3 linked regions of the Nothobranchius furzeri genome follow. The protein of the gene in region 2 binds, or shares a complex with, the protein of the main gene of each other region. Links are inferred from orthologs where the notes say so. Each region holds a gene or a part of one and is shown on either strand. Other genes may lie near its edges.

Evidence for each region.
Region 1: the proteins of fgfr3 (region 2) and kl are in contact, whole or in part, in a cryo-EM structure (PDB 7YSU), measured with the Homo sapiens proteins. The link is inferred for Nothobranchius furzeri from reciprocal best matches to the Homo sapiens genes FGFR3 and KL. Residues at the interface, in NP_000133.1 of Homo sapiens: Gln286, Leu288, His290, Val291, Val293, Gly299, Thr303, Pro304, Tyr305, Val306, Thr307, Val308, Leu309, Lys310, Glu320, Leu324, Ser325, Leu326, His327, Asn328, Val329, Glu332, Asp333, Thr338, Leu340, Phe347, His349; in NP_004786.2 of Homo sapiens: Ser539, Gln540, Phe541, Thr542, Asp543, Asn545, Val546, Tyr547, Leu548, Trp549, Asp550, Val551, Ser554, Lys555, Arg556, Leu557, Val563, Lys566, Arg568, Tyr571, Val573, Ala576, Pro580.
Region 3: the proteins of fgfr3 (region 2) and fgf23 are in contact, whole or in part, in a cryo-EM structure (PDB 7YSU), measured with the Homo sapiens proteins. The link is inferred for Nothobranchius furzeri from reciprocal best matches to the Homo sapiens genes FGFR3 and FGF23. Residues at the interface, in NP_000133.1 of Homo sapiens: Glu157, Arg158, Asp160, Lys161, Leu163, Leu164, Ala165, Val166, Pro167, Arg223, Asp244, Leu246, Glu247, Arg248, Ser249, Pro250, Val277, Tyr278, Ser279, Asp280, Ala281, Gln282, Pro283, His284, Ala312, Gly313, Ala314, Thr316, Thr317, Asp318; in NP_065689.1 of Homo sapiens: Ser29, Leu32, Gly33, Ser34, Trp36, Tyr43, Ala45, Ala47, Arg48, Asn49, Ser50, His52, Ile75, Arg76, Ser77, Glu78, Asp79, Ala80, Gly81, Val83, Val84, His117, Gln118, Thr119, Asn122, Gly123, Tyr124, Asp125, Leu158, Ser159.

What each region holds. Positions count from the first base shown.
Region 1 is NC_091750.1:61,953,036-61,957,024, forward strand, and holds the start of kl (klotho), read right to left. Parts: upstream 2,804-3,989; 5' UTR 2,063-2,803; coding exon 1,346-2,062; intron 623-1,345; coding exon 192-622; intron 126-191; coding exon 46-125; intron 1-45. Other genes in the region: pds5b (sister chromatid cohesion protein PDS5 homolog B), read right to left, coding at 3,662-3,694. UniProt on the Homo sapiens protein: May have weak glycosidase activity towards glucuronylated steroids. However, it lacks essential active site Glu residues at positions 239 and 872, suggesting it may be inactive as a glycosidase in vivo.
Region 2 is NC_091758.1:6,593,480-6,597,768, forward strand, and holds the start of fgfr3 (fibroblast growth factor receptor 3), read left to right. Parts: upstream 1-1,483; 5' UTR 1,484-1,911; intron 1,912-4,289.
Region 3 is NC_091741.1:43,106,065-43,109,473, reverse strand, and holds fgf23 (fibroblast growth factor 23), read left to right. Parts: upstream 1-1,325; 5' UTR 1,326-1,489; coding exon 1,490-1,724; intron 1,725-1,804; coding exon 1,805-1,908; intron 1,909-2,325; coding exon 2,326-2,784; 3' UTR 2,785-2,904; downstream 2,905-3,409. UniProt on the Homo sapiens protein: Regulator of phosphate homeostasis. Inhibits renal tubular phosphate transport by reducing SLC34A1 levels. Up-regulates EGR1 expression in the presence of KL. Acts directly on the parathyroid to decrease PTH secretion. Regulator of vitamin-D metabolism.

The sequences.
Region 1 (3,989 bases), on a different chromosome or scaffold from region 2:
CTGACGAGACAGTTCGATGAGTTTGGTGGAATCCGATGGACCCACATTTAAGTGTCTCTGCAATGAACCTCTTGAGGTAGTACATTTGTTTCGGATCTTCCGTTTTGGTGTTACCGAGGACATACCTGGAAAACAAACGCAAGTTCAACACAAACCCAAACTAAAACGGATATGTCCGTGTGCTAACCTACCAACCGCTTTGCATCACAAAGATGGGTGGCTTGTCATACTCTTCGTTGACCCAGTAGAGCAGCATCCTCAGGTCCAGATCTTCCAGCTGCCCAAACTTCAGGCTGTCGTTGATGAGTTGGAAGCTCAGGGTAGCTCCATGGGAGAGGGCGAAGAAATCAGCTGTTCCTCTGACCTGCTCCCTCTCCTCCTGGGTAAAGGAGGGGAGCCGTGAACCCAGCCTCTCCTTCATGCAGGCTGGATAGTCTCCATCTACAAACAGCGGCTGTGCAAACCAGCCCAGGACATGGTCCAGGGAACACTGGCACTCCCGCAGGCTTTCCAGGCGAGTACGGCTGGGCTTGATCCAGTGGGAGGCCAGAGCCATGGAGACCTTCCCGTGCTGCCGAGGCCGATAGCGGCGGTTGTAGAGGTGCCATGCAGCTGCATGGGCCTGCAGCAGAGACAAGAGAGATACATAAAGAATAAACTTTTACATGCAGGTCAAAAAGTTAAAAAAAAAGTTCTGTGTGCATAATAAATTACACTGTAAAATCTGAATGGTTATTTTTACTTGGAAAAAAAAGCATGAAAATGACAGAAAAGATTGGAGCCCCAGTGGCCTCCCTGCTGAATAAGTGCAGATTTTTTTGTGTTAATGTAGCCTAATATGAGATGTGGGGAGAAAAAGCATGTGAATGCAATTATATGGGGGTTGGGGTTAGTTGAAAAGAGATGTTAAGATAAACACTTTGATGTTTTTTCTGATGCAGATTACCAAGACGTTAATGTAGTTTTGCAAAATAGTTAAATTTGGAAAGGTATTGAAAAGCTGTTGTATCTAAAGCAACCATGAATTATTATGTTGTTGGAATTACACACACATTTTTGAAATACTTAAAGGCACATTTTTTTATTATTATTTTTTTTCATACAGATGTACCTCTCCAACAAAGCAGTCGGGCCCCCCTGTAATGTAAATGTAGAACCGCCCCTGGCCATATTTTAGTGCTTTTTACTATTTTAATGGGAAAAAAATCATAGTAATAAACATTTTTTTTTGTAATTTATTTTCAAGATACTAAATGGAAGGAAAATTGAATAAAAAATTAGATTTTTGAACAGATACTTTTTGTGACTAATAAAAAAACAGCACATTTTTTAAATCAATACCCACCTTAAGTAAGTTATGTCCCACTCGGAGAGGGAGATCAGGGTCGTTCTTGATCCCAGGAGCGACCACCCCGGTTCCGTAGCCATACTGCGCCACCACAAACGGGTTATCTATGGTGATCCAGAACTTCACATCATTCCCAAACGCATGGAAGCAAAAATCTGCGTAATCCTCAAATATCCCCACGATCTCTGGGTTGCTCCAGCCGCCCAGGGTCTGCTGCAGCTGCTCGGGCAGGTCCCAGTGATGAAGCGTGACCACCGGCTGGACTCGGACCTCCTTCAGCCTCCTGATGAGCGTCCGGTAGTAGCTGGTGCCGATGTCGTTATAACTCCCGCGCGTCCCGTTCGGAAATATCCTGGACCAGGACAAGGAGAACCTGTAGTGGGTCACCCCGAGCTGGCGGATGGCCCGGATGTCCGCGTGGATGTTGTGGTAGCTGTCGCTGCCCACGTCCCCGGTGGCCATGCGGTTCCCTCCGCGCGTAAAAGTGTCCCAGATGGAGAGCCCTTTGCCGTCCTTCTCAAACGCGCCCTCCACCTGGTACGCCGCTGTGCCCACGGCCCATATGAAGTCCCCGGGGAACGTGTCGTAGAGAAAAGCCTTGTCTCCCGGATAGGGAAGTTTACTGAAGCGGCTCCACGTCTTCAGACCCGCATTGGGCTTTGCGCCAACAGCAGCGAAGGCCACAAATGTGAGAACAGCGACAAACCCCTTCATGGTTGGTTTTCTTACTGGCCGTGGAAGTCCGGGTCCTCAGCTGGCTCACACTCCACCATGCTTGGTGGCTTTTTGGTGACTAACCAGACCTCTGCGACGCGCGAGCAGCCAGCTGTGAACCTGTCAATCATTAACCAAAGCACCTGACGCAGGAAGGGCTCAGGGCACAAGACGTTAAGGCTCCCACAAAGACAAAATAAGGCACGATCACTTTATTTTATTCTATTCTGCTCATATTGAGCCTTTAATCTCAGTCTAATCTCCTGGAGAGCAGGTGCCAAAGCCTCTAATGTGAACCCATCAACAGATCATAGCTTTAATCCATCTGCAAAACATGTATAACTAAATCTACATTCCTAATCTCATCAGAGACAATGTGATGAGTCAGATGGTTGCTAGGGAACACAAACCCATCCCAGGTTATCACAGCATCAGTATAAATACCTGAGGTGGTGGGTATGTCTTAGAATAAAAAAGTGGTTCTTTCTCTGAGAGGCCATAGTCATTTACATCTAATTAGACTTTTTGAATATTTGGAGCCAACTGTGTTCAAATATGTTGTTTATGCTATTAAAGTGTATAATCAAACCACTCCTCAGACGTCCAGCTCTGCTCATCGTTTAGCGAATTTGCCCTGCAGGCTCTGTCACGGATCACAAACGGGAAGAACACGGGAGTGTTTTTCCATCGGACGCACTGGAGCGTTTGTGCATAAGCGACGTGGAGCAGGAGCAGCCCCATTTACAGCACGGGAAGAGGATTATTAAGGGATGCTGGGCAGCCCGAGGACAGCGCGTGACTCCGACAGATGCCGCAGTTGGATCTGAAGAACTAGAACGTCTGTTTTCAGTCTGAAAAACTAAACGTTTCAAACCAAATAAAGAGGAAGCGAGCAGGTCTGGTTTTATAGAGAATTATATTGTTACAACAGAGGGTCTGACTGGGTGGATGTGAAGCCAAATTAACCAGCAGTGACACAAACGACGTTCCTCTAGCAGTGAGTACAAATCTAACCAAATAAATCAGATGCACACTACAGTCATAACCAGAAGCAACTCTACAATTGCTTTTTTTTTGTTTGTTTTTAAAGTTTTCAATAATGGTAAAAAAGAAGAAGAAATGTTTTAATATACAGAGGTGTAAACAAAATCATTCCAATAAAAGGTAAAATGACACAATTAACACAGAAAAAGTTGATGGTGATCGGTCTTTTTTTTTTTTTAGCTTTTAATAATAACGGCAGAACCCAAAAGGCTTTACAGCACCTCCCCAGTCAGCATCAAACACAACAACAGAACAACAAACAGACAGAGGAGACTATTTACAAACCATATTGTTTTTGTTTTTCATGTTAAGATGAGTTCTACCTAACGTGGCGAACATGATCACAATGCAACACGAAGCGACGAGCCACAGCTGACCATGCGGACGCTCTGATGTGGTGTGCATGTGGTAAATGCAAGTGTGTAACAGCGGGAACATCGGCATATGAAAAGTTTAAAAAGTTCAAAGTTCATGGGTTTTTTTTCCTTTCCTGAAACGGTTTCCTTGACGACAGAAGAATCGTTGTGTTTTGTTTTTTAAATTTTACTCCAAAGCTCATCTTCTGCGTCCTGCTGTCTTCTTACGACCCTGAAAGACAATAAAAAAAAAAAAAGACATTTTACTTGCGATTAATCGCAAATTAATTACAGATTATAAAAGTACGGTAACGTGATCTTTTTCATGTATGAGCAGACAAATACACCGATTCTATAAGAAAACATATTTGTTATTGCAACAATCCAGTAAAATGACAAATATTGTCCAGAATGTTCTTTTTCGATGAACACAAATCTAACTAGCGCGTCGTCTTTTATTGAGAAAGTACCGGATGTTCTCCTCCACCCCGGTGTCTACCTTCCTGTTCCCTTCGTGTCCGCCTGAC
Region 2 (4,289 bases):
ATCCTGAAATAAAGCCCAACTATAAACAATTATATAACCTTTTGTCCTTTGCTGCCAGAAAGAATATTTTGCTTTTTTGAATCAAGGAATCTACACCCTCATTAAAGTCCTGGCATATTGTGATACAGGAGTGTATTCCCAACGAATATATTATGTACATTCCATGCTGTAGTTCTTTTTTAAAACACCGAGCAGTTTTGTTTACCTGTTTTCCCGCTACGTTTCGTTTGCGGCTGCAAACTTCCTCAGGCTGACGTAGCGGGAAAACAGGTAAACAAAACTGCTCGGTGTTTTAAAAAAGAACTACAGCATGGAATTAGAGATACGACACAGCAAGAACACACCTAAGATGTTCAAAGAAAAATATTATGTACATGCTTGGGACTGCACTGGACAATTTCTACTCAACGTAGGACCCCTGCCCAAAGCACATCGGGATTGTTTCAGCATCTCTCATACTGCAAGGTATTTCCAAATGACTGAAGGACTCTATGTTTTGTATTTCTCTTTGTTTTTCCTATGTACATGGTCAACGTGCTTGGATTAAGCTATGATATTTGGAGTTTGTAATGAAAAAAATATATATAAAAAAAAAACAACAAAAAAAACCCTGTCATGCCAGACCATATGTCTGATTTTGTGAAAAAGCATAAACATGTTTTTCTAGTTGGAGGACAGTATTTAGTGCTGTTTGAAGCTTCCTCAGTAGAAAGAAATGCACTTGGGGCGAATGGGAACCCATCCAAGATGGTAGCCTGCTGCTACTTCAGCTCCAATAGCCAGTCCAACGTGTCTGTGCAAGGAACACTCACCCCTCCCCTCGGGTATCCTCACCGGTTTCATGTCCACTGGAACCGGAAACCCACATTGACAGAGGAAACGAGAGAGCATTAAACATCAGTCACCATTTATTTAGGTCCAAACATCTTTTGTTGTCTGGGACGTTGGATGTTTTTCTTTTTTGGGACTCTGTTTGTCCTAAAGTTGAATTGGTAGCAGCTGGCTGTTTCTTCTTCTGTGATATTATTAAGTGGAGAACCTCACACCAGTGGTGTAAAAGTGTGTAATGACTGAAGGACCCAGAGAAGTGTGGTGGTTCAGCGAGACAGACAACCGGATGGGCCAATGGTTGCTTTTGGTCTGAACATGCATTGGCTGGGGCTTTTAGACAAATGCAAGAGAACCACTTAATATTTTCTTTGTTTCATTTTTTATCTTCATAATATTTTTATAGCTATACTATGTTAGAATGTTGTTAAAATGCATAGAAAAGTTTTAAGCCAACTTATTTTCCAAATTTGCTATAGCAGCTTTAAAACGAAGCTGCTGGCGGCCCTGTTTCTTGGGCTGTAGAAAATACAATTCTACATGGCAAAATAAACAAATACATTTATACATAAAAACACATAGCGGTATAACAAATGTGTGCACAATTGGCTCAATGCCACTGGTTTTATTCTGAAAGGGCGGAAGTGTGTCTGTAGTGCGCTAACCAGGTTTGGCTTTTCAGCAGCCAGAGTCGGTAGATCTGTGACAGCGAGTGGCTCCCGGACCGCCTTCACCCGAACCGGGCCGTCCACACCGCTCCCCTTGAGGACGAGATGAGCGCTGTGTGGACATTTGGACACTTTGAAGCTGGTGGCAGCCTGTAGTGCAGATCTGGATCCAGTAAGGACAAGTTTGTCTTTCTCATATGCGGAGTCCAGTACGCAGCTTATTTTGACTCGGGAGGTTTTTGGACTATTTTGTTTTCCACACAGCTGCCCTGAAAGGGACTGGACGGAAGTATTTTAAGAAGCTTTTGGATTTTGGTCCCACTTTTTTTTCTTGGACTCCTGGTCTATTCTAATTTAATCACCTCATTTTTCTCTAATCAGATGTCTGTGCTTCTACTGTAACTGAATATTTCAGGTAAAGTGTTACTACTCCTGCTACTGCTACTACTACTAATTGTACTATTATTATTATTATTATTATTATTATTAGTAGTAGTAGTAGTATTACGCAGACAAAAAGTGAATTCCTCTTCCTTTTAGTCTGACAGGCTCGACCCATCAGCGTCTCGCCGTTAGAGAACGCATCTCTGTTTAAAACCTCGCTGGTGCCACAGCGGCTCTTTGGGTCAGTGCGTAATTGGCGCGTTCTCTCCGGAGTCAGACTACAAAGAACTGAGTCAGTTGGTCCTTTTAGTTCGCCTGGCGTGGTCACTGCTGCCTACATGCGCGTTGCGCAGTGTGCGAACATATTAGCTCACATTCGCTTATTTACGCACATCAGTAGAAATGATAAAGCAGCTTTTTGAAGGGCACGAAGGTGATCGGGCCCCTCTTATTTCGATAACAGAGCCTTTGTTGGATAGCTCCTGAATTATTTTCATCTCTCCCAAACTCCAACCGTGATCCAAGCGAATTTCCCAGAAGCCGCCCGATTCCGTAGAGACACGGGGCGGCAGGGGCTGGTCGGTGCGGTGGGTGGAATCAAACCTCTCACGCGCCCATCGAGCGAATGTTTGATGATCACACGCGTTTAAGCTGCCTTTCACTTTGTTGCTCATGAATAAAAACTACTTTTTATGAGCGTTAACATAGCATCCCTGTTCCAGTGACGTGTTCCAGACCAGCTGGATGGTGATCCCACTCCTGCTCCTGATGGCGTGATTTAGTGAACCTAATGCGCGTTAGCACACATCACCTAAAGGAAGATGTGAATATTGACGTCATATATGGAACCACAGAGCCACATTCACGCCAGATCAACCAGACTGATCCGACCCCGTGTCCCTGCTGCTCATCTCCCATCTGAAGGCGCAGCGAGAGGAGAGGGGCTAAGTGTGATGGAGGAGGGAAAGATGAGAGCATTTAAGGATGAAAAGATTCTGATCAAAGCTGGAATGGAAGATGGCTCACTATGTGTGAGGCTAATTCTGACTCCTAGCTGTTCTCTCATCTGATTGGCTACTGCTCTGCCTCTCAACAAAACTTTGAATCCCCTTCCCCCTAAAATAAAGAAGTGAGTTGAGCCATAGCTGTCCTTCAGCTTAATTGTGAAATCCTAGTGACACTTCGGAGACTTGTGACCAGCATGTGATCGGTGCCTCGGATTGATCCTCACTAAGGATGAGGAGGAGGAGGAGGATGACAGGGATTGGAGCACTTAGAACCCGTTTCTGCCTCTGAGCTTTACCTCTGTGAAAATAGTTATACATGATTAATGTTCATGTTTTATTAAGCAGGTCATTTTCCTTTTCATGCTGTTACACAATATTAGCACTAAAACACTTTTTGAATCCGTTCAACTGAGGTTAGTTAGTGAAATAGAGTCATCACAGTTACAGTTAACTCTGAGTCTTGATATTACATTTTAGAAACAATCCTAACCGTACCTTTCAGTACAAACAGGTTGAACATAGCTGCTGCCGTAATGCTACCTGTTATTTCGCAACATGGGCCATACGATACTAGATCAGTCACTTACCGCCGTTGTTGTTTCCAAGTTTCTGCTCTCAGGCTTTGAGAGGCTGTCATGCAACTTGTCTAAACAGATCTGCAAACTGACAAGACGCAACTCTGCTATATGCGTATGTTTTGGTGCCTGTCAGAGTAAACGGAGGTTGCACTTTTGCACAGCCTGCTATCATTGCCTGGAGTGTGCTGTGTAAACCGCAACAGCATGGAAGTGTTGTGTTGGAAGATACCGAGGATGTGTTCAGAGAGAAGGTTCTGTCAAACACATTGAAGACATTATAAGATATGGCACTCTGAAGCTAGAAAGGTGCAGTGTTTAGATTAGAATTGTGTGTGTGTGTGTGTGTGTGTGTGTGTGTGTGTGTGTGTGTGTGTGTCTTGCTAAGTGGCCTCAGTAGGTATTTTCTGTGCAAATAAGAGCTCAGTTTGTGCTGAGCAAGGAATGTGTCAGAGGTCCTCCAAAGAAAAGAAAAGCAGCACCGTTAAAAAGGACACAGCCTTGTGTGTGTGTGTGTGTCTGTGTGTGTGTGTGTGCGTGTGTGTGTGTGTGTGTGTGTGTCTGTGTGTGTGTGTGCGTGTGTGTGTGTGTGTGTGTGTGTGTGTGTGTGTGTGTGTGTGTGTGTGTGTGTGTGTGTCTGTAGTGTGTGGATATTTCCACATTGTGGGGACAATTGGCTGGTCCACACAATGACAAAATACCCTTAAACATGGTTTTAGAGGAATGGTGTTAAAAAAATTAAAGCTGCAGTATGTAAGAATATAGTGAGAATTTTACAGTGAGAATATCCTAATGGTTCAGTCATTTTGGAAGGAATGTTATACTGA
Region 3 (3,409 bases), on a different chromosome or scaffold from region 2:
TCCTCTCCTCTGTTCTCATATACCTCACCTTCTGCCTTAGTTTTGGTTTGCTAATCTCTGTAAAATGAGACGAAACAAATTTTAGTTACATGTTTCTGATAACAGACGATGCTAAGTAAAGTTTTGTTCCTTTTATTTTTGTACGTATGTGCTGTGCACAGCAGTCTACTGTATATTCCTGAAATACCAAATAATAAAAGTTTGTTTTTCTTTTTTTAACTGGCTGCTGGGAGTTTGTTGTTTCTGTGGTTTAACTGGATTTGCTGACCTTGAACTGAAAGATGTGAGTCACTCATTTAATAAATACATTTGTAGTGGTCTCTAGGAATTAATCCAAGTTGTACTCTGGGGAGGAAAAACTGACCGTTGCACCATTTCCAGGAACTTGTAAACGATAACGACCTGCACTTGTACTGCTTCGTTCAGAGTCAAAGGTAGAGAGGTGGTAGTGATCCACGGGTGAGTCCATGAATGTTGAGTGACAGTGTGATGCAGATCTGGCAGTTTCACATCTCTTTTCTATCAGAAACTGATGCAGGAGATAGGTGTAGGAGACTATTTTCATGTTCAGCCTGCATGAAAAACTCAGAGTGACCCATTATAATCAGAAATAATCATTAAAAATTGGTTTTTAGTGTTCCACATTTTTAAATCATGAAAAATTAAAACATTTCAAACACAAAATATTAGTTTAAATTTTTAAAACAACAAAGACCCCAAAATACATGCCAAACATAAAATTTACAACAAAATAATTTTTAAATCAAGTCCTGTCCCTAATTTACAAAACAAATGTAAGGTTAATTAACAGATTAAAAAATCTTTCTGACTTATTCCATGAATTATAACTTGTCACCATAATAATTTCCTGCATGAATGAACCGTTTATAAGAGGGGAACAGACTAAACGCAGTTAGGTTTCCAGTGTGGCAGCTTTCTGTAAAAGATGCGTCTGTTTGCTTTCCTCCCAACAAGGAAGTGTCGCCATCTGCTGGGTAAAAAGTGGAAACGTGGATGAGTGCAGGTGTGCAGAAAAAGCAGAGCTGGCATAAACAACTATTTTAACTCTTTAATTATAGAGCTGTCACTCTTGGTTGGGGAAATAATCCGCGATGTGATGAAAAGCCTTTAGAGGTTTTTTTTTTCCTTTTGAAATATTACACAATGCAGCTTCCTGCACTCCGAACTAAAACCTGAAGCGGTGGTTTAATAAGAAACGGTGGATGAGTCAAGAAGAGAACCCAAAAATAAAAGTCTTGATTTTTAACCAAGATCATGAAATAAACAGAGAGGTGGAAGTGGTCCTTCCGCTGCTGAAACCCGCACCTCTGCTTTGGGGGCGAGTTTCTTTTTCTTTTCTTTTTTTCCGCGCAAAGGATGTGCGCAGGAGTGGCGCTCAGATGGGCTTTAAATAGGTACTGTCACCAAACTGTGGCACAACAGAGCATCCGAGCGCTTCCAGCAGTCCAAACCAGCGGTTTGATCCAGGATGGACGTCAACAAGCGACTGGGGATGAGAGACACGATGCTGACGCTCTTACTCGCTGTCCTGCAGGGACTTCCTGTCGGGGAAGCGGCACCGAATCCGTCTCCGTTAGTTGGATCCAACTGGGGGAACCCGAGGAGATACGTTCACCTGCAGACCTCCACAGAACTCAACAACTTCTACCTGGAGATCAGATTAGACGGGTCTGTGGGCAAAACTACAGCCAGATCTGCATTCAGTAAGTTGATATTTGGATGAAAATAATGTAGGTTTATAGACCAAGGTCAGGCTGCTAAAAGTGTTTTTTTTCTCTCGCAGGTGTAATTCTAATGAAAGCTGAAACAAGGGAGCACGTGGCCATCTTCGGTGTCAAAAGCAACCGTTACCTGTGTATGGATCAGGAGGGGATTCTGTTCAGCTCGGTAGGTGTTTCAAAGTTATTTTCAAATTTCCAGCCTAAAACCTTATTCTGAGTTTGTTTATCGGTCCTATGTGCTTTTACGCATCTGGCTGTGCTACTTTTACGCATGCGCACCGCAGTTTATTTTCTAAATAACACTTAATTTCTTTAGTTTGCTGCTTATTCATCTTTAAAATACTTCAGTTGAAAGCTCGCATGTAATTTTAGTCGATTTATCAAACCACGAGTTTGTTTCTGGTGTCATTGTGGAGTTTTACGCACAACTTTTACGCACAGGATTCCTTTATTTAAAACGTCGGTTGGATTTATTGGCATCTGAAAATTGAATAAAAATAAATTCAAGGCATTTTTTCCGCCTAAATAAAAGTCAGCAAACATCGATCAGCTGGGGTTTGATGGCTTTCTTTTCCTCTTTTAGCCCATCTGCCAGAGGGACTCCTGTCTGTTCTACCACAGGCTTCTGGAGAACAACCGGGACGTCTACTATTCTACTCTAACCGGGATCCTGTTAAACCTGGAGGGCTCCCGGCAGCTTTACTCTGCGGGTCAGAACCTGCCGCAGACCTCCCTCTTTCTGCCCAAGAAGAACACGGTGCCGCTGCAGCGCCTTTTGCTGCACAGAGACAAGAGGACTCGGGTTGCGGACCCAACAGACCCACACAACGTCTTGATTTGGCAGCCTGAGGACGAGTTGGACTCCAGGGCGGCACAGGAGGACGACATCGACCTGGATGTGGAGGTAGAGTTGGAGACGGAAACAGAAGTCGGGGATGATGGAAGAAACGTTTCCCGGGAGACGCCGCTGGCTCCACACGACCCCTGGAACGTGAACTTATCCAGGCAAGGCGGCGCTCGGAGCACCGGGACCACGGTCTGATCTCGGCACCATGGATGATTTTAGAGTTAATGTGCTCTGCCTGAGTCCAATTTAACAGTTTAGTCCAAACATCCATCTGAAAAGCTGAATATATATATATTTTTTTTTTTGGGTAAAATCGGTGGTTTGTATTGACTTGTAACCTTTTTTGCACATTTTCTTCTGTCTTAAATCTAAAAAGCAACTAAATACGTTCTCTTCCATCATCAGACCTTAAAGAGAGTAATCAATTTTAGAAAAGCTTCTGCATCTTTGGCATCTGAGCATTCATCCAAAATGCTGGAATATCAAACAGGATGGAAATTATTCCTCTCTTTCTCGGTTGGTCTGACAAACCCACAATGATGTTTCCAAGACAGAAGCCTGATTTTTCCTACCTCTGGAGAACTGAGCGGCCTGCTGTCAAACCAGACAGGCATCACTAAAAATAAATATATAATTAAAGTAGAGTAGAAATGACTAGAGTTATAGTTTAAATGTCTTTGTTATACAATCTTAAGTATATTTTAAGAGTTGAACATACTCTCAAATCATCATTATGACTTATTTGCAGTTTGATCTGATAAATGACTTGAAAGAAAATGACTACAGGGTAAATAAATTCTACAGAATATCAAATGTAAAC